2 linked regions of the Caenorhabditis elegans genome follow. Changing the gene in region 1 together with any one later gene gives a genetic interaction. Each region holds a gene or a part of one and is shown on either strand. Other genes may lie near its edges.

Region 1 (9,429 bases):
AAATGAAAAGATGTTTCTCGACTAAAAATTTCATCATCTATGTATCTCTCAGCTCTCTTATAAAGTGGTCATTGATTATCTCCTTTATTTGGGGTTAATAAGGTTTTCTCTGTTTATTAAGCATATTTTGAACCAGATTGGTGCACATTTTTTAATAAGCACCGCACACCACAAATTTATGAAAATGTTGGTTCATACTGAGAAGGTCTCTGGCGCGCAACCCAAATAAATTCTTCAGTCATTTCAACATGTCGTTTCGATAAATAAATTAGAAAAAAAATGTGAAGGATATCTGAATTTGGAATTTCTACCACCACCGAAAATTGAGGAAACAATAAATTCAGAAGCAACGATGCATTCTCTTTATTCTTGAGAGATGATCAGAGTCCAATTATGAGAATGTCGACATTATATGGTCCTTCCATCTATACATTTTTGATGGCTCTGGAAGGACACAATACAGTATGCTCTAGATGAAGCTTGATATTTGAAGCCCTGAGAACAAAAATATCTGAAAAAACCGTAACATGCAAAATTTTATAATACTTCTGAACACTATTAAGTGTCAAGTGGGGGATGATAAAATAAAAATTTAAAAAAACTATGAGAGCAAATAAGATCTATCTAGAAGCTGTGAGAGATGTTAACAAAAAATAAAGTCAATTCTCTTTTTGTGTTAGAGTAAGTGTGGAAGAGAGAGATAGAAAATCTAGTTACGCGTCGTTGTATGTTACTCCGGATATTTCAATTGAGTCGTTCAACTTGACGAATAACGTATGGGGCCGCTTAGAAACATTCGTTTTAGATTATAGGGTTAAACTAGCTTTTGCATCTGAAAACAGCTTGTGAGTAGAAAAAAAACCATAGCTTGTATCCAACGTATTAAATTATTATTATTAGTGTAATAGTGGGTTAAGAGAGCCAAAGAAAACGTAAGATGCAAATTTTAACATATCCGTTTTAATATATGCAAATGGAAATCTAGAAGTTCAAAACATCAATAGTTTAAATAGATAAAAACAGTTTGACAAGACGCCTACTCTGTACAAATTTAAAAAACCAAACTGATTGCACTCAGCATGTTGTCTTGCAATTTCAAAGCATTACATCTAAAACCGCTCCTTATAGTGCGCAAGTGGTGTCAGGCTGTACCAATACGGTTTGAAATACAAAAAAAGCGGGATTTTTTCGCACAGAAAGATTGAGAACTCTGTATCTCAACCGCCGCATTTTTGTTGATCTACGTAGATCAAACCGAAGCGGGACATTCTGGCGCCACGTGAGTGTGTAGATATAAAGAATTTTTTAAATTTCTATACAATCAAAAATTGGCAACCAATCTTTTCGACGAACATTTCAAAAGTTGTCACCGAATTTTTGAGTGAAAACCTCCAAAAATCCAAATTTTTCAATGTTTTTATTATGTTTTCCGAACATTTGGGACTATTTTAGGTATGCGGGATTAAAAAAAAAAATTTTTTTGGCTCCCAGTTATATGTGTAAATCCTAACTTTTTTCTCTGAAAAACTAAACTGATAAAAACGACATTTGTCAAGATCAAAAAGCGATGACATAAGCTTTCCTTGCAACAAAACCTACAAATCTGTGTGCCTCTAAATAAGCGTTTCAGATCATTTCAAATTCACGATAACGACCGATTGTTGAAAAAGGTAAATTATGTAACAGAATTTGCGTCTTGTTTTTTGAAATGCAGAAAAAGACCAATACGGAAAAATCTAGTCTCAAAATCAGGACAAAAGCGTTGATGTGAAATTCAAGAAATTTGATCTCACACCAGCTCAAGCAACTCCTCCCCCGCATCTCTCGTCAGAGATTTTTTTTTCAAAATAAAACAAAGAAATAGGAAAAGAAAAGTTTAGATCTATGTAGTAGCAACAATAGAAATTATTTTGACGGTCGACTTGAAAAATGTTTCTTGATCTTTTCAAAATTGTTCCCAGAGTTGAGATTGGTAGCTTCCACGTAAGGTGTCGAACAGGGCACACAAGTGGTGTCAGAGTTACTCATTTTGGTTTGATCTACGTAGATCAATAATACAAAAAATGCGGGAGAAGGGGACGCAGAGTTCTCCACTGATTTCGTATGGTTAAGAACGCGCTGACGTCGCATTTTTTTTGGGCGAAAAAATCCCGCTATTTTTCTAGATCAATCCGTGATGGGACATCCTGGCACATGGCACCACATAGGCACATATAACGTTACATTTGTAATGAAAGCATCATAATCATACTCCCCGCAAAAATAACACATAATACATGATAACAAATATTTATATTTACTAGCAACAATATTTATTTTGAAGGTCGAGTTAGAAGTAGTTTCTTCATCTTTTCATAATTTTTTCCAGAATTGAAGTTGGTAGCATCGACATATGGTGTCGAGCAGGGCTCATACAATGTTGCATTTGTAGATTCCATTGTCGAAATCGCTGAATCGAATTGTTCGTAAAGAGCCGCTTGGTAATCTTCCTCGAGCTTCACATAAATCACAGTCATTTCCTCTCTGTGATTACTGATACAGAAATTTTTATCGTCGCTCATCTGAAAATAAAATAAAAATAATATGGCAATGTGGAATAGCAAAATACATCCGCCCAATGTTTGAACAAATTTAATTGAATTGAGAAGAAATAGGTAAAATTTTGTAAATTGTATTCAAATTTGCTTATCTAAAAAAGGGTAAATCCAACAAACCGTGTAAGCATCGCGATGCTTTCTTGCAAACGAGTCTACCAATGCCTGCGCTGTACTTGTAACTGTGTGATCTTCAATTAGTCGAACGGATACTTCTCTGAAAACTGGGGAATCGATGAAAATTTTATTTTTTATTTTTATAAACGTGTGACTTGGTTATTGACGAAAAAGTTCCATAAGTTTGCTACTTACGTTGGGATGTTTTCAACTTCAACTTCCTTAAGATTCTGAACTACACCGTCGGAGATCAGAACCAAATGTCTCCAGGATGGGTCGATCTAAAAGTAGAAGTTACCTGTTGGTTGGAAAATAAGCATTTAAAAAAAGAAAAGAAAACATGTTCTCATTTTGTAATCAAATCTGAGGTGTTGTGACTAATATTTTCATTGAATTTGATCTTTTATCTTGTTTTTCGTAAAATGTTCCAGAACAACATTTCATCATAGCAAACCTTTGTATACTGAACATCTGGAGTAGAAATAACCGGTGGTCCTTTTGCATTCTTGAAAGCTTCCGTCTCTTCAAACAGGTGGGTTCGTTGTAAGTCACCGATCGCTCTAGTTGGATTCAGAACTGTCTGTAAACTTATTTTGTAAAATTATTACAAAAAAAATTAATTACCTCCGGATTAATCCCTAGCCCTTTTATTCGTACAATCTCCAAAGGATTGTCATTATTGTGTAGATTTGAGTTGAGCTGCACTACGTTCTCACTGTTCATAGCAATTGCGCTGAAAGTTTTTTTTTTTCAAAAATTCCTAACAAACAGTTTCAAAAATCTTACAGAGAGTTTCCGCAATTTAGCACATATAGGTCCTGGTTAATGATCATGACTACTATGGCAGTGGTACCTTGGCGAATCTGAAAATTTGGGAGATTATAATAATTTCAAAATTTAGTCTAACTTTTTGATTGATTTCCGATACTGCATTATTTCCAGTTTCCGACTGTTCCTCCAACTTTAACAGTCGATTGTTCAAATCATCGGTGTTCATCAACAAATAACGCTCGGCAACGTTTTCAAATTTCCGTTTAAATTCTTCCACCACCTGAAAATGTAGTTGTAGAGTTGAAAATTTGATTGTTAAATCACTTGATAAGGGAGTAGTGTTGGTGTAATTGGATTTTCTCCAAAAATCTCATATACCAATCTGTTCATGACAAACTTCGCTGTTGAATCGCCACCATTAAATCCGGAAAAAATACCGTAGAGTTTGATGGGTCCATTGCTGAAAAATGAAAATTTGTTAACTTTTACTATTAATGTAATCTACTAATCTGTGTCTACATGATCTTTCATGTTTTAACAAAAAATTACGATAAATATAGTTTTATTTTTTAATTGATGTACTTGTGACATTTACTTCCTTGCAAACAAATTGTATTTAACACCTTCAATGTATCGTTCCAAAACTTTCTCTTTTCATTTTTTGTTCATTGTGTTACTAGACAAGGAAAGTGTAAAAATTGCATTTTCCCACGTAATCGTTCAGTTTATTTTCCACTGAATTGCTGTAAAATTTGACTTTTTTCCTAATTAAGATCGGTTTATGTTTCATTTTGCAACAAAAAAAGTAGAATAAACTCACTGTATGCACATGGAGCACGATAAAAAATCGTTGTTCTGCACCGGATTTTTTTGTTTTGAGTAGCGGCAGCTGTGCACAGTGCCAATGCCCGCATCGGTGTTGGCAGGGTATTGATCGAGGAACCCGTCGTCCCCCATTTTGCCTGTGCTCTGCGACTGCTCTCCTGCTTATCTACAATCAAATTCACGATGAGTTAGAGAAATAATGACAGAGAAAACGATTAATACAAACGATAAACAAATTTGTTGATTGACTACTTCTACTTTCTTTTTTATTATATAAACGTTCAATGAGCAACAACAAAAAATTCTAATCAAATTATATTTTTATATTGAAATACAATTTAAAAAAAGGGAAAAATTCTAATTCTAATCTTCAAAATCTATATCCGGTCTTTTTTCTCACGCCAAAACGCGTTTCTATTCTTATCAAAAAGCAGCAATGGCTAGCCAAGCACAAACACGTTGAGAGAATTGGCATGCCGACGCGCGCACGCACCCTCCCAAGCATACACCGCCGCGTGTGCCAAACGCGCTCCATTGGCAAAAACCGATAGTCGCAATTTGGACAATTAATGCATTTTCGCATAAATAATGAGCACATTGTTTTTGATTCAATATGTTCTATTGATGATTTTCTGTGTATTTATGTAGTTTTTTGTAGTTCGCACCTGAAAATCGATTTTTTTTGCAGAATTGTACACCGAAGATGACGTCAATAATCAAAAACCAGCTAGTCAAACATTTATCCAAGTAAGTTAATTTTTGAGTGTATTGAAAAATATTAAAAATCGATGACAACGTCAAACATATTTTTTCTCAAATAATACCCTCCTTGTTTAGTTGATAAAATGGATGTTAAAATTTTTGTAACGCCACTGGGAATTTTGCCAAAATATGCTCCAAATCGCTTAAAAAAACCAAAAATATCTTGGTAATTGCTACTTGTGACAATAAGTATAAAATTTCAAATTTTTTTTGAAAAGTTTTACTATGGAATTTAATCAAGTTTGCACCCTCAAAAAATTCACTTTTTTTCAGATTCACAAAAAACTTGAAGCCCGAGCAGATATCCTTAGACGTGTTAAAAGGAAATAGTAAACTTCAGTTTATTGAAATTAACGAAGATGTTTTGACAGAGATTTTGGTGAGTTTTAAATGTACATGCTTTCCTTGCATAAACTCAAAATTTCAGGAGCTTCCTTCGTGGTTGAAAATCAAACGAGCATTCTGTACAGGTGTAGCTGTGAATGTACCATGGACCAAATTGAAAACTTGCCCAATTCAGATTGTAGGTTGTTTTCTTTTTTTTGAATTAGAAATTGAAGTAGACAAATTTATTCTCGTATTTTGAATAATTATATCAGACAAATTAAATCTGCCAAATGTTGCATTTTTGATAACGTTTTCTATTTTGTAAAAAAAAAGTTATAAATATTTTGAAAAGTGTCATAGTCTCACATAAACTCCTTTTTCATTCAAATTCATGCTTTTATAATCGTAAAAATAATTTCAGTTCATTGATGAAATCAATGTGGATGTGGAGCTTACCAATGAGCATAAAAAACAGGCAAAATCAAATCCACTTGGGTAAGCATAGTTCTACCATTTTCGAAATTAAACCCTTCACGTTTTTGCAGAAATCTCGGTGACAGCAGTTCATACGGCTTCATGAACAAAATCATCGAAAACATGTCTTTGTATATAAGTTCTGTAGAAATTAACTTTGATTCCGACGTATTCGGAGGCTCATTTATGGTTTGTGTTTGCTCAGCCGGAAAATGTTTTAATTAATGAAATTTTTCAGCTTCAACGATTGTCAGTGGAGAGCAGAAGTCCAGGATGGGCTCAAGTGAAAGACTTGCGTCAGACTAGAATTACGTGCTCGGAGACAAATAGAACATTGATGTTTAAGCAGGTGAATTTTTAAAAAGAAACATTTCTAGAATCAATTTGAATAATTATAAATCTAAAAATATCTCATCAAAGATGAATCTTAAAAAATGTGATTAGAAAAAAAATATTCAGGAAAAATACATAGTTGGATTTTTAAAATTTTCAAAAAAACATCTGATATTCAAATTGTTAAAATAGGCTTAAAATAAAACCTCCAACTTACAGCTTTCCTGGCATCTCCTTCGCATTGAAGCCTCAGCGAAAACTTCGAAAAATGAGCAGCGATCCAAAATCAATGCTCCATTACGATTGATCACGAGTGGCGGAAAAATTCGAATTGCATTGAAAAAGAATGTAAATGGTGAGTTTTTGTTGGTAAAGCAGAGAATACAAAAAAAAGTGGAATAAAATTGAATCGTATGCCGAGTTTTAAATGCAGTTTTGGAACTTTTATTGCCCATAAAATCATGGGAATTTTTTTATGTGTGTATATAAGAGCATATTCTGGATTTTGAGGAAAAATTTTGTAAAAAAAAAGTAGATAGAAAATTTACGAATTCATTTTTTTCAATGAAATTGATGTTCAATTAAAAGTGGACTACGGCCAATGGAAAAATAACTAAATCCCATTCCTGTAATGCTAAAATTACTAAATATCATTAAGAAAATTTCCAGAAGCTTCTGAAAAGTTTCATTGATATTTGGTAGTTGTAGCCCTATAGGAATAGTTTTAAACCATTTTTCCACTAGCCGTGGGCCACCTTCAAATTCATTTAAAGAATTAAAGTTTCAAGAATATTCAACTTTGTCTCCTCTGATCGAACTATTTTAGACTATATCTTTTCAAGCTTTAAACCCTTTCTATTTTAATCTTTTCCAGACGGCTCGGTAATCCACGCTAGAATTCAAACAATCCTCGACGACATTCTCTGGGTCGCCACACTTCCCCAACTCCGCTCAGCAATCTCATTTGCCAGTTACATTGCCAAACTTGTCAAAGAGTCTCAGAAAAACGATGTGATAACCACAAGCAGCGGGAACGATAATCCGTTTATGAAAGCCGCCGGCAACAGTGCGACGGCCGACGCGAGCACAATTTCCTCTGCGTACAATATTTTCTATTTTGACCAAACTTCATATCATCTCCATGTCAAGAAAATTGACCTACATTTATGTGATGATGCTCATACAGCCAGTGGTAAACTTTATCAAAGAATGATAGTTGCACTATACAAATTAAAATTTAGATTACCCACCAGATTGGGATATTGAAAGCGGTGCTATGCAAGTTACTCTATATCAAGTTCTCATCGACGTCTACCCAAAAGCTCATGCTCAATCAGATAGATCCACGTGGATGAGATATTCAAATACAAACCCAATTGCTGCTTGGTTCCGAAATCATTTGTCGGAGCAATTTCTTACACTTCTAGGAAATGCTGAAGGTAAAAAATGTCAATTCGCAGAATTCTTTAGAAGTGAACTTACATCTAGAATCTATAAATTGTTCGTTCTTTATGAATTGAAAACAGTTAAAATCAGTTTCATTTTTGCACCAAACAAATACGTCAGTAACTTACAAATAATTTTGTGTAATTTCAATATTACAGGTCAAACAACCCGGACAAGACTAGAACGTTGCTGGCCCCAACTAATAGGATTCTTTGTGGTTCTACGAGTTCATGACTTGACAATTCAATGTGTTTCTGATATGAACACAAAGAAGGACGCGTTGACAAACTTGTTCGAAAGTGAACGACACCTTCACTCACTACCGTCTGACCAGCAAATTGTGCACGTGGAGTTTGGCGCGTTTTACCACCCACACTCGGACAAGCTTCCGGTTCCAAACTCTGCTGTGTACTTCCAACTTGGTCCATTCACGATTTCGTTTGACGAACGAACGATGAGATGGTGCTGTTATGTTGCTCATGCTCTTTCATCAGCTATTGTAAGTTTCCAAGGGTGAAGGGGAGAATTTGCTTTAATTTCAGGAAGACGGAAATCTTATTCCTGAAAATGAGCTGGACATTCAACCACCAACTATCAAAGTCAATTTGGTAATGCCAAGGGTGAGTGAAGTGTAGCTTAATTATTATTTTTCGTGGTCAATGAGAATGCTACATTGATGTTCACTGTGTCCCAAGTTTCAAAACTTTTTCAAAAAAATAGTTGGCATATTTAGAACTAGGTCTTTATTATATATTATATTAATTTCAAAACACAAAATTAATTATTTACACTTTTCTTTCAAATTCCTTTTTTTTTCAGCTTGTCCTTAACCTGCCAGGACCATTCACAGATTTCAACTTCCCTCGAAGACTTGTTACGTCTATGTCAACACTCTCTATCTCATCAAGTCAAATCGACTTCAAAGAGAACAGCAGATTCCGCATTCTGTCTGAGAGCACAGATGAGCATAGTGATGTGAAAAATCAATTGATAAATGGACTCAACAAATTTCATATTTGCACATCACCAGTTTGGATTGAAATTGATCATGGACCACAGACCAAAGGATTTCCGTTTTTGCACGATGTTAGTGTTTTATGTTATACATATTAAATTAAAATATTCAATTTTATAGGTGTCATTTAATGGCATTTTGGCAATTGATAAAGATAAAGTGAATGTCTTGGTGGAGCCAGCAGAGGATGTTGCCGTAGTGGTCGACCATTACCAGTTTCTGCAGGTACGTACGCAAAAAAATATGTTAGGATGTTCGAAACTGTTAACTTTTGTAACATATATTATTGTATTTTCTGTTTTAAGGTATATTTTGTCCCTTAACCATATCCCTTCAAAGGTAGAGTAGCGCCAGTGGGTATTTTGTCCAAATACACCTATAACAATCTAAAACGACCGAATATCTTAATAAAAACTCCAAAAAATTTGAGATTTTTCATAATTTCCGGTCAAAGTTTGGGCAAATTGCCAAAATGTTTTTAAAAGTTTTTGAGGAATTCCAAAGCAATGTCGCACCCCTACAATGTTTTAATACTAATAATTAAAACAAAATTACAGTATAAAAAATGTAGAAAACAATTTTTTTTGGTCGACTTCCAAAATGATGAGCGACAAAAACTAAGTAATTGTAACTTTTGACATTAATAAAAAATTTTCAAAATTTTGTTGAAAAATTTTATTATGATATTCCTTTATTTTGAGACCATGGGAGTGGTGTTTAACATTTTCCCCACTGACGCTGCTCCACTTTTAACTTCTACTTGTC
Region 2 (12,221 bases), on another chromosome or scaffold:
AATTCATCCATTCCATCCATTGCACTCATGTGCATTTGTGCAACTTCATAAAATAAAGAAATAGTACATGTTAGCATTGGAATAAGAAAAGCTGCACAAATGACAGTAACACCAGAAGCCACATTGGTACCGTAACCCATTTCAGTAGACTGTCTCTTCACTGCCGTTCGTATCACTCTTTATATGCACGTTGGCATGGGTGATACGTTCAGATGTTGGATGTGTAGATAGATAATTCCACAAAACGTTTTCTTGTCATAAAATCGACAGTCATGTAATGATATCTAGACACTAAATACACAAATCTATAGATAATAACAATTACATTTAGAACTTCGGAAGGACAGACGGCAGCGACCAGCGTTTTAAAGAGGAGAGAGAAGTTTGACAGGAAAAGAGGGACTGAAAGAGAAAGTTGACAGGAAGTGATCAGAATTCAAATTGAACAAGAAGTGAGTATATAGATAAAAGTTATTTAGAGATGAGTATACATCTAAGAATGTTTTTAAAAAAAGTGAAATGAGTTCACATTCTTTCAGTTGAAAAGTAATTATCATCTTGGATGTCCCGATATCTTGCAATTTCTTGTTCCAGATAATATTTCCGTTCAAGAAGTTCTACCGTGTGATCGTGTTGAGGCCATTGGGCAATTAGCTCATGTCTGAAATTTTTAATTGTATTTTTCAATTGGACTTGAATTTGATTTAAGCAAAATTTCGGTCAGGATATTTAAAATTTTCACCGTTATTTTGGAAAATAAATAATCCATAATTTTTGTTACTTAAAACTTTTTAAAATTATAATTTTTCAAAAAAAAACACTTGAAATTGCACTTTTTGTTTTAGAAAAAAATTATTTCGCTTTTTCGATTTGAAATAAAAAATCGAAAAATATGTAATTTTTGTTATTCAATATTTAGATATTTTCAAAAAATTTAGATTTTTTGATATTTAAACTAGTTTTTTATTTTGATAATTTTTTATTTTATCAAATGAAAATGACATGTTTAATTGTTTTTTTTTCACAAACTTAACACAATTTGATGAAAAGCTGATATTTTCGTAAATTAAAATCTAAACACTTTTTCGATTTTTTTTTCGGAAAATGCAATGATACAAAATTTGAATTTTTCCTCTTTTCCAGAAATGCTTTTTATCTTAAAACAAATTTTTTACATTGAAACATAGCAATTTCAACTAACTTAGCTCTCATAACTTCTTTTTTAATGACCCAAGCATCTGCATATTGTTTATTATTATCACAGTGTTGATGAAAGATTTCCAAAGATTTTTCGTCACGAGTATCAGGATCAATAGGCTGAAAAATTGAATGTTATTATATTTAATTCAAATCTCATCGAAGGATTACTCTAGTCTCCTCATTCGAACAAATATTCATAAAAACGGCATGTTTTTCCTCATCGTTGCTATCTCTTCGGTGCTCAAAAGGAGGAGGAGGACGTGCGTCTCTATGTGGTTGCCTGAAAAAAAGAGATATTTCATAATACACCACGTCAATGGAAAAAATAAATGTCTACTTTTGTAGAAATACCCATCAAAGTGTTAGTTTTTTAATTTCTCTAAGAACCAAAGAAGCTAAAATTTAAAAAAATTATTTTATTTTTGGAAAATGCCAAATTTTAAATACTTTTCGGTCATATTTCTATTTTTAAAAGCAATTTTCGTATTTTCTCATCGAAATATGAATTTTTTGATAAATTAATAGTTTCATTTTTTAAATTGATATTTATTACACTTTTTTTCGTTTTTTCTATTATTAGAATTTCAGAAAAATCAAACAATGTTCGTTTTTAAATTTTTTGACTTTCTCTGAAAAAATTGAAAAATCGATGTTTGAAAAATAGCTTCAAATTTTGGTAATTTTTCTTTTCTATAAAGAAAATTACATGCTTTCTTTGTTTTTTTCATAAAAACAAGTTTTTAAACATTTAATCCTTTAGTTAATTTTCTAAACGTTTTTTTCGGTTTTTGCGAGAAAATAGAAAGACAACAATTTTTTCAATTTTTTTTAATTTCGTCTGAAAAATAATCGAAAATGTTTTTTTCAATTATTCTAGTCTAAATTTGCATGTCTTTAGATATTTAGTTTCTTATCCGAAAAACCCCAAAAACAGGACAGTCCTCATCTCCATTTCCATTAATTCCTACCTTTGCTCGCTTTTGGCTCTATCCCGAAAATTTTTAGCTTCACTTTGAGATTTTGGTATTCTAGATGCACCAGCTTCACCCGGAACCGTTGGATACGGTAGATCCTAAAATTTCAATTTTCTGTTTTTCAAGCTATCCAAATGAAAATCTTACCGGTTGCACTACAAAAGTCTCACTACGATTTCTTCTATGACCCTGTCCAGGTTGTTGAGGATTTAAAAGTTTTGAAGCAGTTGGTGTTCGATTATTTGATCCTATTCCACTTCCAGAAGAAGTTCCAAGCATTGTTGGTCGATGAGCATGTGGTGGAGGAGTTTCTGCTGGTCCATTTGTTGAAGAATCCGATAAAGGTACGCTCCCATTCGGATATTCCTTTAATGCAAAAAAAATTAGTTTTTTTGGAGTTTGGCGAGATTCATATGTTTCATAGAAAAGCAGGTCTTATCACGAATACAGTAATTCTCAGATAAAATTAAAAATTGTGTTGGAATAACACAATTTTTAAAATTTAAAAACTTTAAAATAAATTCAATAAATACTTTAATTTCTTCGCAATAAAAAATTCGAAAACAAAAAATTTAATTTGCTTTGCAGCACCTTCTTTCGAGATTGTCCAAAAATTTTAATTTTGTATTTTTAGAAATATTTGTTCAATTCAAAAAAATTGTTTTTAACTGGTTGAGTATTTAATTTTTAATTTTTTAAAAGAACTTACATCTTTTAGAAGAGTAAAATATTCTACACATTCGGAAGAAGTCGGTCGAATATCAGCATTATCATTCCAACATTTCTTATAAAATTCAGACAAAATAGGATTACATTCGAGTTCTTGTGGACGTAAGTTAGCTGTCGCAACATTATATAAAAGTCCAGGAACTGAGAGATCTCTTCGATACGGATGATTTCTAGCAATAATTTGCCACATTATAATTCCAATACTGTAGATGTCAGATTTCATATTATACTGTTCACATCGAAATACTTCTGGAGCCATTGTGATTGGAGTTCCACGATTTGAAGTCATTGATTGATGCATTGAGGTAAATGTTCCAAAATCACATAATTTCATTGTTCGATATCGATCAGAGAGAAGCATGCTGAAATTATTTTGATTGACCACAGTAGGTGATTTAATTTTAATTTTGAAAACTGACCGCTAAAGATTTCTGATAATTTATTGAAATTTGAAAAGCTACAAAAATTAAGAAATTCCTCATTTTTACTTTTAAAATGGCTTTTTAAAATTATTTTCATATGATTAGTTCTTCTTGGAGGATATTTTTAAATCCACTTTGAAATATTATTTTTTAAAAATGATTTTTTTTAGATTTTACACATTATTTTGTGGACCAATTTTCAAGGAACTTTTTGCTTAAAAAAATAAAAAAAATAGCTCACACAAAAATGTAGAACCCTTTAAAATTAATTTTTCGAATGTCTAAAAATGGATTCGAAACATTTCTGCTTTTCTGTACTAAATTCACTTAAAATTTCAAAAGATTTTGTTGAATTTTTCTAAAATCTAAATTGTTAAATTGACAGGATCTCCGCCATTAATTCTTTCAACTTTTAAAAAATTTACCTAATATATTAGCTAATAGTAAAGAAAAAAATTTCAATATTTTTCTGTTAATTTTCAAAAATCACTGAAAACATCTTCACATCCAACATATATATTTCTTTCAATAATTTCTGCTATCAAAAACTCACTTTTGAAGTTTCAAATCTCTGTGAACTTGGCTGTTGGAATGGAAAAAATCGACGGCGGATGATAGTTGAAACATCCATGAAGCCACATGATCAATTGTATAATTAATGTGTGTTCTGTCGTAGAGTACTGAAAAAAAAATAGATTTTTCAGCTAAATTTTATTTTGGAGAATTGCCTCATTGAAATGAATTTTTAATTTCGTAAAAAACAGGGTTTGGAGAATTTAAAGCGATTTTTTTAAGACTAAAAATGGAAAAAAAAAACCAAATAGCATTTTTTTTGTTCAAAATTATAGTGAAATTTTTTTTGCCAGATTTTTCGTGTTACAGCGTCCATATATTGATTTTTATTCAGTTTCTTCCATATTTTGCAGTATAATCCGCTTTTTTGATGTATTTTAATATATTTTTAGCTGATAGAAATTTCTGTTCCTATTGCCGAAAAAATGTAGTTTAATTCGCTAAGAAACACGGAATAAACCGACAAAATGTTAAAAAATTTGGCGAAATCGGGGATTTTCACTAAATTTAAATGAAAATCTCACAATCGGCCATGCTTCCACAATCCATATATTCCATAACGACTCCTTGCCCATTCCGAGGGCTTTTGTACAGTCCATAAATTCTGAAAAACTTCTATTTTCAGTATTTTCCATTTATAAAAACATACTTTATAATATTAGGATGATTTCTGAGATCCCACATAACTTTTGCTTCTCTTATAAGAGTTGCCATATGAAGTTGAGAAGAATATTTGATTGCTGCTGGCCTGAAAATAATATTTTGGTGATTTTATTGATTTTTTGTTAACTTTTGATAATTCCTCATGCTTTAAAAGAATTAAATTTAAATTTTTGAAGCTAGAAACGAACCTAAAGTCATCCTGCCTAGTTTTTCTATATCTTGTTTTCTCAACCAATCCATAAGTGCCTTTTCCGAGATAATGACTATTTAAATTATCAATACATTGTGCTTGAATTTCGGGAATATCAATTGTTGAGCACAATCCGGAATCTCGTGTTGTTCGTTGTGTTGGTGTCTGAATTTATTAATTTATTGAGTTTTCAGTGATTTTTATTGATAGTTTTGGTAAAAGCAGGCTTTATACGTCTTCAACTGATTTTTTTAAAAATTAAATACAATACTGTTTTTACAAGAAAACGTTATTTTTCTTTACTCAAAATCCATTAAACTTACAATTGCGGCAGGACTTGGCGAATGACTGGACGAACTACTAGACGGTTTGCTCTGTGACGAATTGTCCATTTCAGAGCCGAAACGGTGAAAAAAATGGTGATGGGCGGCAAAGGACAGGAACTGGCATGTGTTGTGTGTGTATACTCTTTCTCTCGCTCAGTGGAAACGATATAGTGCACAAGTAGAAGAAACTGCAGACGAATAACAAAATAGACCAACGGGACACAGACAGATTTCCGATTTAGACAAGGAAGAATGATGATTTTAAAGAAGTTACTGTAGCATGGCTGAAAATTGTTTTGATAAATACATAAAATTCAATTGCGCAGGTTTTACAGAAAATTCAAAATAAAGAATAATTGAATGTTTTAAGTTCTGAAAAGTAAAGAAATTACACAACGGGGAAGAAGTATGGAAATTTATTCAAATTATATTTGTATAAAAAATACAAAGATCGAAAATGTTCTAATTTTCTGTTCTTCTGTTCTAAACTAATTTTGTTAAATATATAAATAATGTTTTCAGCTTAATTCGAAATTGCAGAAACAATTCTTTGTTGGGGACACTGTGCTCAAAGGCGCATGACGCAACGAAACTTTTGGGTCTCACCACGAAACTGTCAAACACGGTAATCCTAAAATTTAGAGAAGCTGTCAATTAATTTATGAGTTTTGTTTGTCTTAATTTTATGTTTAAACCAACAAATTGTCTGCATTTTTTCTTCAAAAAATTTTATTTTTTACTTCAGATGTCAATTATTGATGACCGAACGGATCCATCTTACGACGGCGAGGACTACGAAGCTTCTATAACGGTATTTTATTTCGATTCTTATTTTTAAGATTATTGAAATGTTTCTAGTTCGGAACCTATCAACAAGAAGAAGTCGCCCCGTTTGCTGTTCATCAGTGTAATGTGTGTAATAAAATGTTTATGAATTATAAAGGTTATTCGCATAAAAATAGAAAGCTGAAATAAAAAAAAACATTTCAGGTCTCCAACAGCACTCTGTGATTCATACCGACACCAAACCATACATCTGCGATGTTTGTGGCCGAGGATTCCGATACAAATCGAATATGTTCGAGCATCGTACCGTTCACACCGGCTATACCCCTTATGTGTGTCCATTTTGTGGAAAACAGTTCCGATTGAAAGGAAACATGAAAAAGCACATGCGAACTCATGTGACAAGCAAAGAAGAGTTGGAAGCTGCTTATAGACCATATTCGAGGTTGGCAATCGGTCGACCCTTCACCTTCACAAATAGTTCGTGGTACGTATATTATACATTGGACGTACAATAAATATGTTATTCACATTGCATTGCACGAATTTTAAGAACTTCGTCCATTATATTATGTGAATAATACATTTATTGTACGTCCACCGTATAATACACGAACCACGAATTATATGTGTTGTACGAGGGGAATTCTGATATCTATCTCGTCTTAAAAATGATTTCAGCAATCGGCGTTCGTCTGGAATTATTCCGTCCGATGCTCTAGTCATTCGTGGGACATCGATGCCCTATTACAATCCAGAGAAGAAGCGATCGGTTCCGAAACTTTTATTGGGTAAAGATCCTTCAAAATGGGTTGATATGATCTGCCGAAACCAGCTTATCCCACTATCTTCATTTGACGATAAAATCATGAGAGCTACAATGCGATTGACTAACTGTCACATGGCATCCGATGTTCTAGAACAAGCTAAACCACTCGAGTTTGAGATGTAAGTTTCAATTCAATTTGAAATTACAGTACTCTTTAAAGGCGCACGCCCTTTTGTATTTTACAAAAAAAGAAGACGTGAAAAGACCAGCGTTTGTATTTTTACCGCAAATTATTATAATTATTGTCTTACTAATATCCCATGCAAAATCTGAAAATTACAGCTTTCGATGCCCAATTTGCAAGTGCGAATGTAGTGGAAGAGAGGATTGTCAACTGCATATGTATGCTTCTCATGATAAGAAAGAAGCTGAAGAACCAAATTATTGCACGGTAAATAATTGAAAATTAAATCTTGAATATCCTGTAAACTTTATTTTCAGAAATGCATGAGAGTATTCGCCGACGTAGATATGTATCGTCAACACCAAAGCTATCATTCTCGTGTTCAATTGATGATTCGTAATAATGAACTTGAAATGGTGAGTTGTTAAATATTGCTAATTCTTAATTGTATTATTTTGTTTCAGGGCTCTCCAGAAGTCGATATCTCTCAAATCTGCTACAGTATGATCACTAACACTGAAAATGAGATGAACATTCTAAAACCATCAGCATAGTTTTTCCCCTGAATTTTCCCCACATCCCTGTCTTTCTAACGCCCGTGTAATTGTTTTGTTCTGTTGCACTTGTTCCTTTCATTTTTATGAAGTTTTCATTTTGAAAATATGAATGGAAGACAAAATACAACAAACGTTGGATGATGGCAAAGTTTTTTAAGGAAGGAAGTAAAAAAGAAGCATAAAGGAGTTGGGAAATTCACAATTAAAGCACAACCAAAGCAGGACAAGGTGAAGAAAAAGACAATTTGGGGGAATGTTTGAATGGTAAAGCTGTGATAATGAGAGAAGATGATTTCTGATTTTAAGACATTTAATACACAGGGTTGGGGATATCAATGATACTTCTTTTAATTTGGAAAAACAACCAATTTCAGATTCTAGAATATAAATTACATTTATGAGACACACGTTTTGAATATCCCTCTCGCGGGGGAACAAAAAAAGATTTGAGGGAATCGGGAACACACAGAGAAAGAGCAGATGTTTTCGGAGAAAGCCGGGAAAAAAAAGTATGAAGAAGTGAGAGACGCAGACGAAAAGCAGTGCAGGTGGCTCATTAAAGAGGTAAACGAGTTGAGGTGGTGCATATTGATACTTTAAGATTATATGTTTGACGGATTTGAAGGTGTTTTGAAAACTAGAAAGCGGGGAGTTTTTTGAATTTGAAATGGAAGAGAAAGAGGAGAAAACTAGGCCAGCATTTGCTTTGTGGATTTACGAGCGATTTAACTATTACGGGAGCACAATATTCTGAGAAAACATGTTTGACGTGCAAAATATTTCGTAGTGAAAACTACAGTAATTCTTTAAATGACTACTGTAGCTCTTATGTCGATTTCCGGGCTCGATTTTTCTTTCAATATTCGAAAAAAAAATAATTCAAAAAATCGAGCCCGTAAATCGACACAAGAGCTACAGTAGTCATTTTAAGAATTACTGCAGTTTTCGCTACGAGATATGTTGCGCGGCTCAGAATGTTGTAATCTCGTAATATATAAGTAGTTTCCAATGTTTCTTGCAAGTTTTAGCGTTAAAATTGCATCAATTTCAGAAAATAGCCTTAAGTACACATCGGAATATTATTTGCAAGTTTCATTTTTCAATTTCCTCTTCCATTTCAATATTCTTTAGCAAAAAAAAGGTCGAGTGAACAATAAATAAACTAATTGTAAGGACCGTTTCCCCCTAACATATTGTCCAATTCACTTGATTGAGTATTTCTAAGAAAGGTCAATGACCGAAAAGTAACTGGCAAACTCTCAACTACTGTCATTTTTGGTGCAAACGGTGCAATCTGGCGACATCTGCCACTTCTTAATACGGTCTCTCTCTCTCTTCGCTCCACGATGCTTGATTGATGATGACCACCGGGCTGCTGGTGCTGCCCGAGAGAGCACACAGATTTGAGAGGAGTAGAGATAAATCAGTTTGAAAGAATAGATTGAGGAGAGTGAGGGATAAAAGAAAAAACTATTTGAATAAAGAAGGAATGTATTGAGTTTCTGAACACAAATGTGAATCAATCGGTAATGTGAAAACTAGAAATAAATACGATTTTTTAAAAACTTAAAACCCTTGCTGCATTTGCAATTGTGTCAGCATGATTTGAGCAAGTAGAGCACTTTGATTTCCGAAAAGAGCCGCTTGTGGGGAATACTGAGGGAATGGCACTTGTGGGGCAGTCATTTTGAGAAGAGCCTCCGAGAATCCAGGCATTTGAAGGAGCATTTGAGATGTTGGGGAGCTCTTTTCCGCGGAGCCAGGAGCAACTGGAGCAGCAACAGGTCTTGATGGTGTTGATTGAATCTCTGGGATCACGGATGGAACAGGTGACTCGCATTTAACTTCTTCTTCTTCTTTAATAAGAGTTGGAATATCATCTGATGTTGTTTCAACGTCAACTTCCATCTCGTTCTGAAATAAATTACCGTTAAGATTAAAAGATAAAGTGACTTTGGTAAGTTTTTCAAATCTTCACAACTGCCCATTTCGGATCAAAAATTAATATAGAAAAATGGAAAAATATCTGATTGATTCGGAAATAATCTTCATTTTCTTGGGAAATTTGGAAACTGGAGGAAGTTGTCATTTACCAAAAAACTGTCTTAGAATTTTTTTTCGGTAAAGGACAGTTTGAGAAAGTTTTTCAGGTCTTTAAAGTAATTTTTATGAGCATTTTCCCAAAACTTTTAAATAAAATTATTTTCAGAGAGTACAAATATTCCTCAATTAAAAACTTCTCAGAATCAAATGTTATAAATTATTGTACCTCTTTCTTTGACTCCTCTTCCAATGTAGCAAGTGGTTGTGTTTGAGAGAATTGTTGGAAGAGAGCATCCATCATTTGACTGAAAATTCAATTTTATAGAAACTGTTTATTGAGAATGAAATAGAATACCTTGATGGAATGAGTCCTGCTTGTGCTGCAGCCAACAATTGCTGAGCTGACAATCCAGCTGGAAGTCCAGAAAGTGTCAAGTCAAGTGGACATTCATCAGAAATACTGATTCCCTTAATTGGAGTTTTCGTGCGTTGTGGTGTTGTCTTAATTCCCTTCCGTGCAAGCTTTTCCTGATGGGCAATTGGACAACCAGAGAGACTACGGTGAGATGTTCTATTTCCATTGACATGTCCCTTTCCAGAGCATCCGGCTGTGGTGCATCGGAGCACGGTGTCTTGTCGGAGAGCAAGCACTGCAAACGGGAAAAGTAAGTGAGTGAGTGGGAAAAGTCATCAATCTTTGGCTCTTGCTACTGCTACAAGTATTGGCTTCAAAGTAAGTATGAAATGCATGAGAGCTCATTTATCTTAAGCTCTTTTTACCAGATTAATGAGCTAGTTTACTTGTTGCTCCAAGTTCACAGCCAGCTAAGATTTATGTTTAGTTTCAATTTAAACTTACTTTGGATAACAGTCTTGTCTGGTCTACGTGGACATCCGGACAAACTTCTGTGATGAGTGTAGAGTCCTGTCTGATGTCCTGATCCATCACATCCAGGTGTTGGACAAGCCAGTTTGCCTTCTGAAAGTTGGGACTTAGTACCGCTCCAAATGGAATTTCATGTGATTCGGTGCGAGTGGAGTGGTAAGTGAGGGGATTAGTTTATTTTGTGGTTAGTGCACTCATTTTATCCCTCCCAAATGGATTATTATTTTTTGATATTCTTCGAAAGAAAACTCAGAATGGGGGAATTAGTGGTTAGTAAGTTGGGGTTAGAGATTGATTTTCAACTGAAATATCTTCAGAGGATTACTGTAGGGTCCCAACTTTCTGTTCAAAAAGTCCTTACCACGTCTGATGCTCCATGAGTAACCAGTACCAGGTGATGGAATTGATCCGTTTGGAGTAAATGCAACTGTTGGAGTTGTAGAGATTGAAAGTTCATCACTGATATTTGTATGTGTAATTGGAGACATAACTCGAGATTCTGATCCAGATGAGTGTGGTGGGCTTGAAGCAGTTAATGGAGTCTTTGGAGTATCCGACGATGTCATCATTGGGCTCTGAAAATCGTATTTTTTGGTAAAAAAGATATGAAACGAAGAAAAACAATAATAGTAATCCATCAAAGTTGGCAAGTCTCACTCTTTACTACTACTACTCCTAGTAAGAACAATCGGTGAGGCGGCAGTGTCATTGGTCACGCAATGTCATCCGTTGGGTTCTAAGGTGTTTTGTGTCTGTTTTGACATATAATTAAAGTTGGAAGCCCTTGCGTGACCAGCAACTTGTTATTTCAAGTCATTGCTACCAACTAGGTGGTCCGAGGAGTTGTAAGAAATTTGATCTACCGTACTCGCTTTAACAATTGAATTTAATAGAGTTTCCAAAAGTTCCGTGAATTTTCCTGAGAACTTTCCTAAATCTTATAGAAAATTCCAGAAGTTTTCCTAATTTTCTAAAATCTCCAGAAGATTTTTGAACCTCCTAGAACTTTTCAAACGTTTCTCCAGCTTTTCTTTCTGAAACCTTTCGAAACAGTTTCGACTTTTCAAAGTTGCTCGGTTCTTCCAAGACCTTCCAGATGATTTTTAAAAATTTTTAAAAATTTTCCGGAACTTCCCAAAATTTCCTCGAAGACATGACCCTAATTTTCGTTAAGCTAGGCATTGCAAAACTACCAGTTTCCCTTGAAACTTCTCACTTAAATTTTCAAAATTTTGAAATAATTTCCCAAGTTGAGCTGCCATTCCCAATTTCAATATGTGTCAATGTGAGTTCATAAATATGCAACAAGTCACTTTTCTCTACCGTGTGCCCCCCATTCCCACTTCACTTCTTTTCACTCAAAATGCAAATTTCTTTGGCTTCTCACCTTTGACGACGACGTCTCCTCTGCTGTCACGACACCACCATCCAAAACTGAGTCGACATCGGAAGGTGATGTGTCAGAGTGTGTGGCGCTCATCATATTTCCTGATGTAAAAATTTCAAGCTGTTTTTGGAAGGATGGAGCCATAAATTGCGAGAAGAGGAACGACGGAACTCCTTCGAGGCCACTTGGAACTGATGAGGTGACGACATCTGCGGAGGTGGCGGTCTGAAAGTGAATGGAATGAATGAAGATGTTATCTCAAAGGATCTCAGACAGATGTACAGGCACATGTTCTTCTTCGGAAGCATAAAAAAGTTGTTAGGTAATAGTTCGGAACGATGGAACAGGTGCTCTCTCTAGGCCCTGTCAGCTGTCTTTTGCGTCCTTTTAAGACCATCCAAGGACACATCATATATTTAATTGCCGATTCGATTTCAAAACCGAACACTAAATTTTACTAACCTGTTCAGTTGGTTTCTGTGCATTGTTTGTTGTCGTGTCACAAGTCATATTCTGATCTTCTTCTGTTTCG

The links.
Region 2: of tap-1 (region 1) and mom-4, changing one enhances a phenotype caused by changing the other (phenotypic enhancement), as found in Caenorhabditis elegans (one study listed by BioGRID).

What each region holds. Positions count from the first base shown.
Region 1 is NC_003284.9:14,584,668-14,594,096, reverse strand, and holds tap-1 (TGF-beta-activated kinase 1 and MAP3K7-binding protein 1), read right to left. Parts: upstream 4,474-9,429; 5' UTR 4,440-4,473; coding exon 4,303-4,439; intron 3,943-4,302; coding exon 3,807-3,942; intron 3,763-3,806; coding exon 3,619-3,762; intron 3,575-3,618; coding exon 3,498-3,574; intron 3,445-3,497; coding exon 3,336-3,444; intron 3,292-3,335; coding exon 3,166-3,291; intron 2,993-3,165; coding exon 2,907-2,992; intron 2,812-2,906; coding exon 2,715-2,811; intron 2,562-2,714; coding exon 2,313-2,561; 3' UTR 2,276-2,312; downstream 1-2,275. Other genes in the region: bltp-3B (Chorein N-terminal domain-containing protein), read left to right, coding at 5,011-5,054, 5,343-5,448, 5,497-5,592, 5,818-5,891, 5,942-6,059, 6,109-6,219, 6,423-6,558, 7,078-7,395 and 5 more. UniProt on the Caenorhabditis elegans protein: Involved in the Wnt signaling pathway by regulating mom-4 kinase activity.
Region 2 is NC_003279.8:9,895,457-9,907,677, forward strand, and holds mom-4 (Mitogen-activated protein kinase kinase kinase mom-4), read right to left. Parts: upstream 5,362-12,221; 5' UTR 5,144-5,361; coding exon 5,075-5,143; intron 4,917-5,074; coding exon 4,750-4,916; intron 4,647-4,749; coding exon 4,548-4,646; intron 4,503-4,547; coding exon 4,423-4,502; intron 4,006-4,422; coding exon 3,879-4,005; intron 3,266-3,878; coding exon 2,884-3,265; intron 2,541-2,883; coding exon 2,322-2,540; intron 2,273-2,321; coding exon 2,169-2,272; intron 1,481-2,168; coding exon 1,369-1,480; intron 1,318-1,368; coding exon 1,202-1,317; intron 662-1,201; coding exon 526-661; 3' UTR 222-525; downstream 1-221. Other genes in the region: col-64 (Nematode cuticle collagen N-terminal domain-containing protein), read right to left, coding at 1-140; lsl-1 (C2H2-type domain-containing protein), read left to right, coding at 5,823-5,888, 5,936-6,020, 6,068-6,308, 6,545-6,811, 6,975-7,083, 7,134-7,232, 7,281-7,370; Zinc finger protein ztf-11, read right to left, coding at 8,940-9,287, 9,643-9,721, 9,772-10,066, 10,276-10,395, 10,664-10,877, 11,690-11,914, 12,152-12,221. UniProt on the Caenorhabditis elegans protein: Part of the Wnt signaling pathway essential for the specification of the mesodermal cell fate in early embryos. Stimulates the wrm-1/lit-1-dependent phosphorylation of pop-1 and plays a role in the initial nuclear accumulation of wrm-1.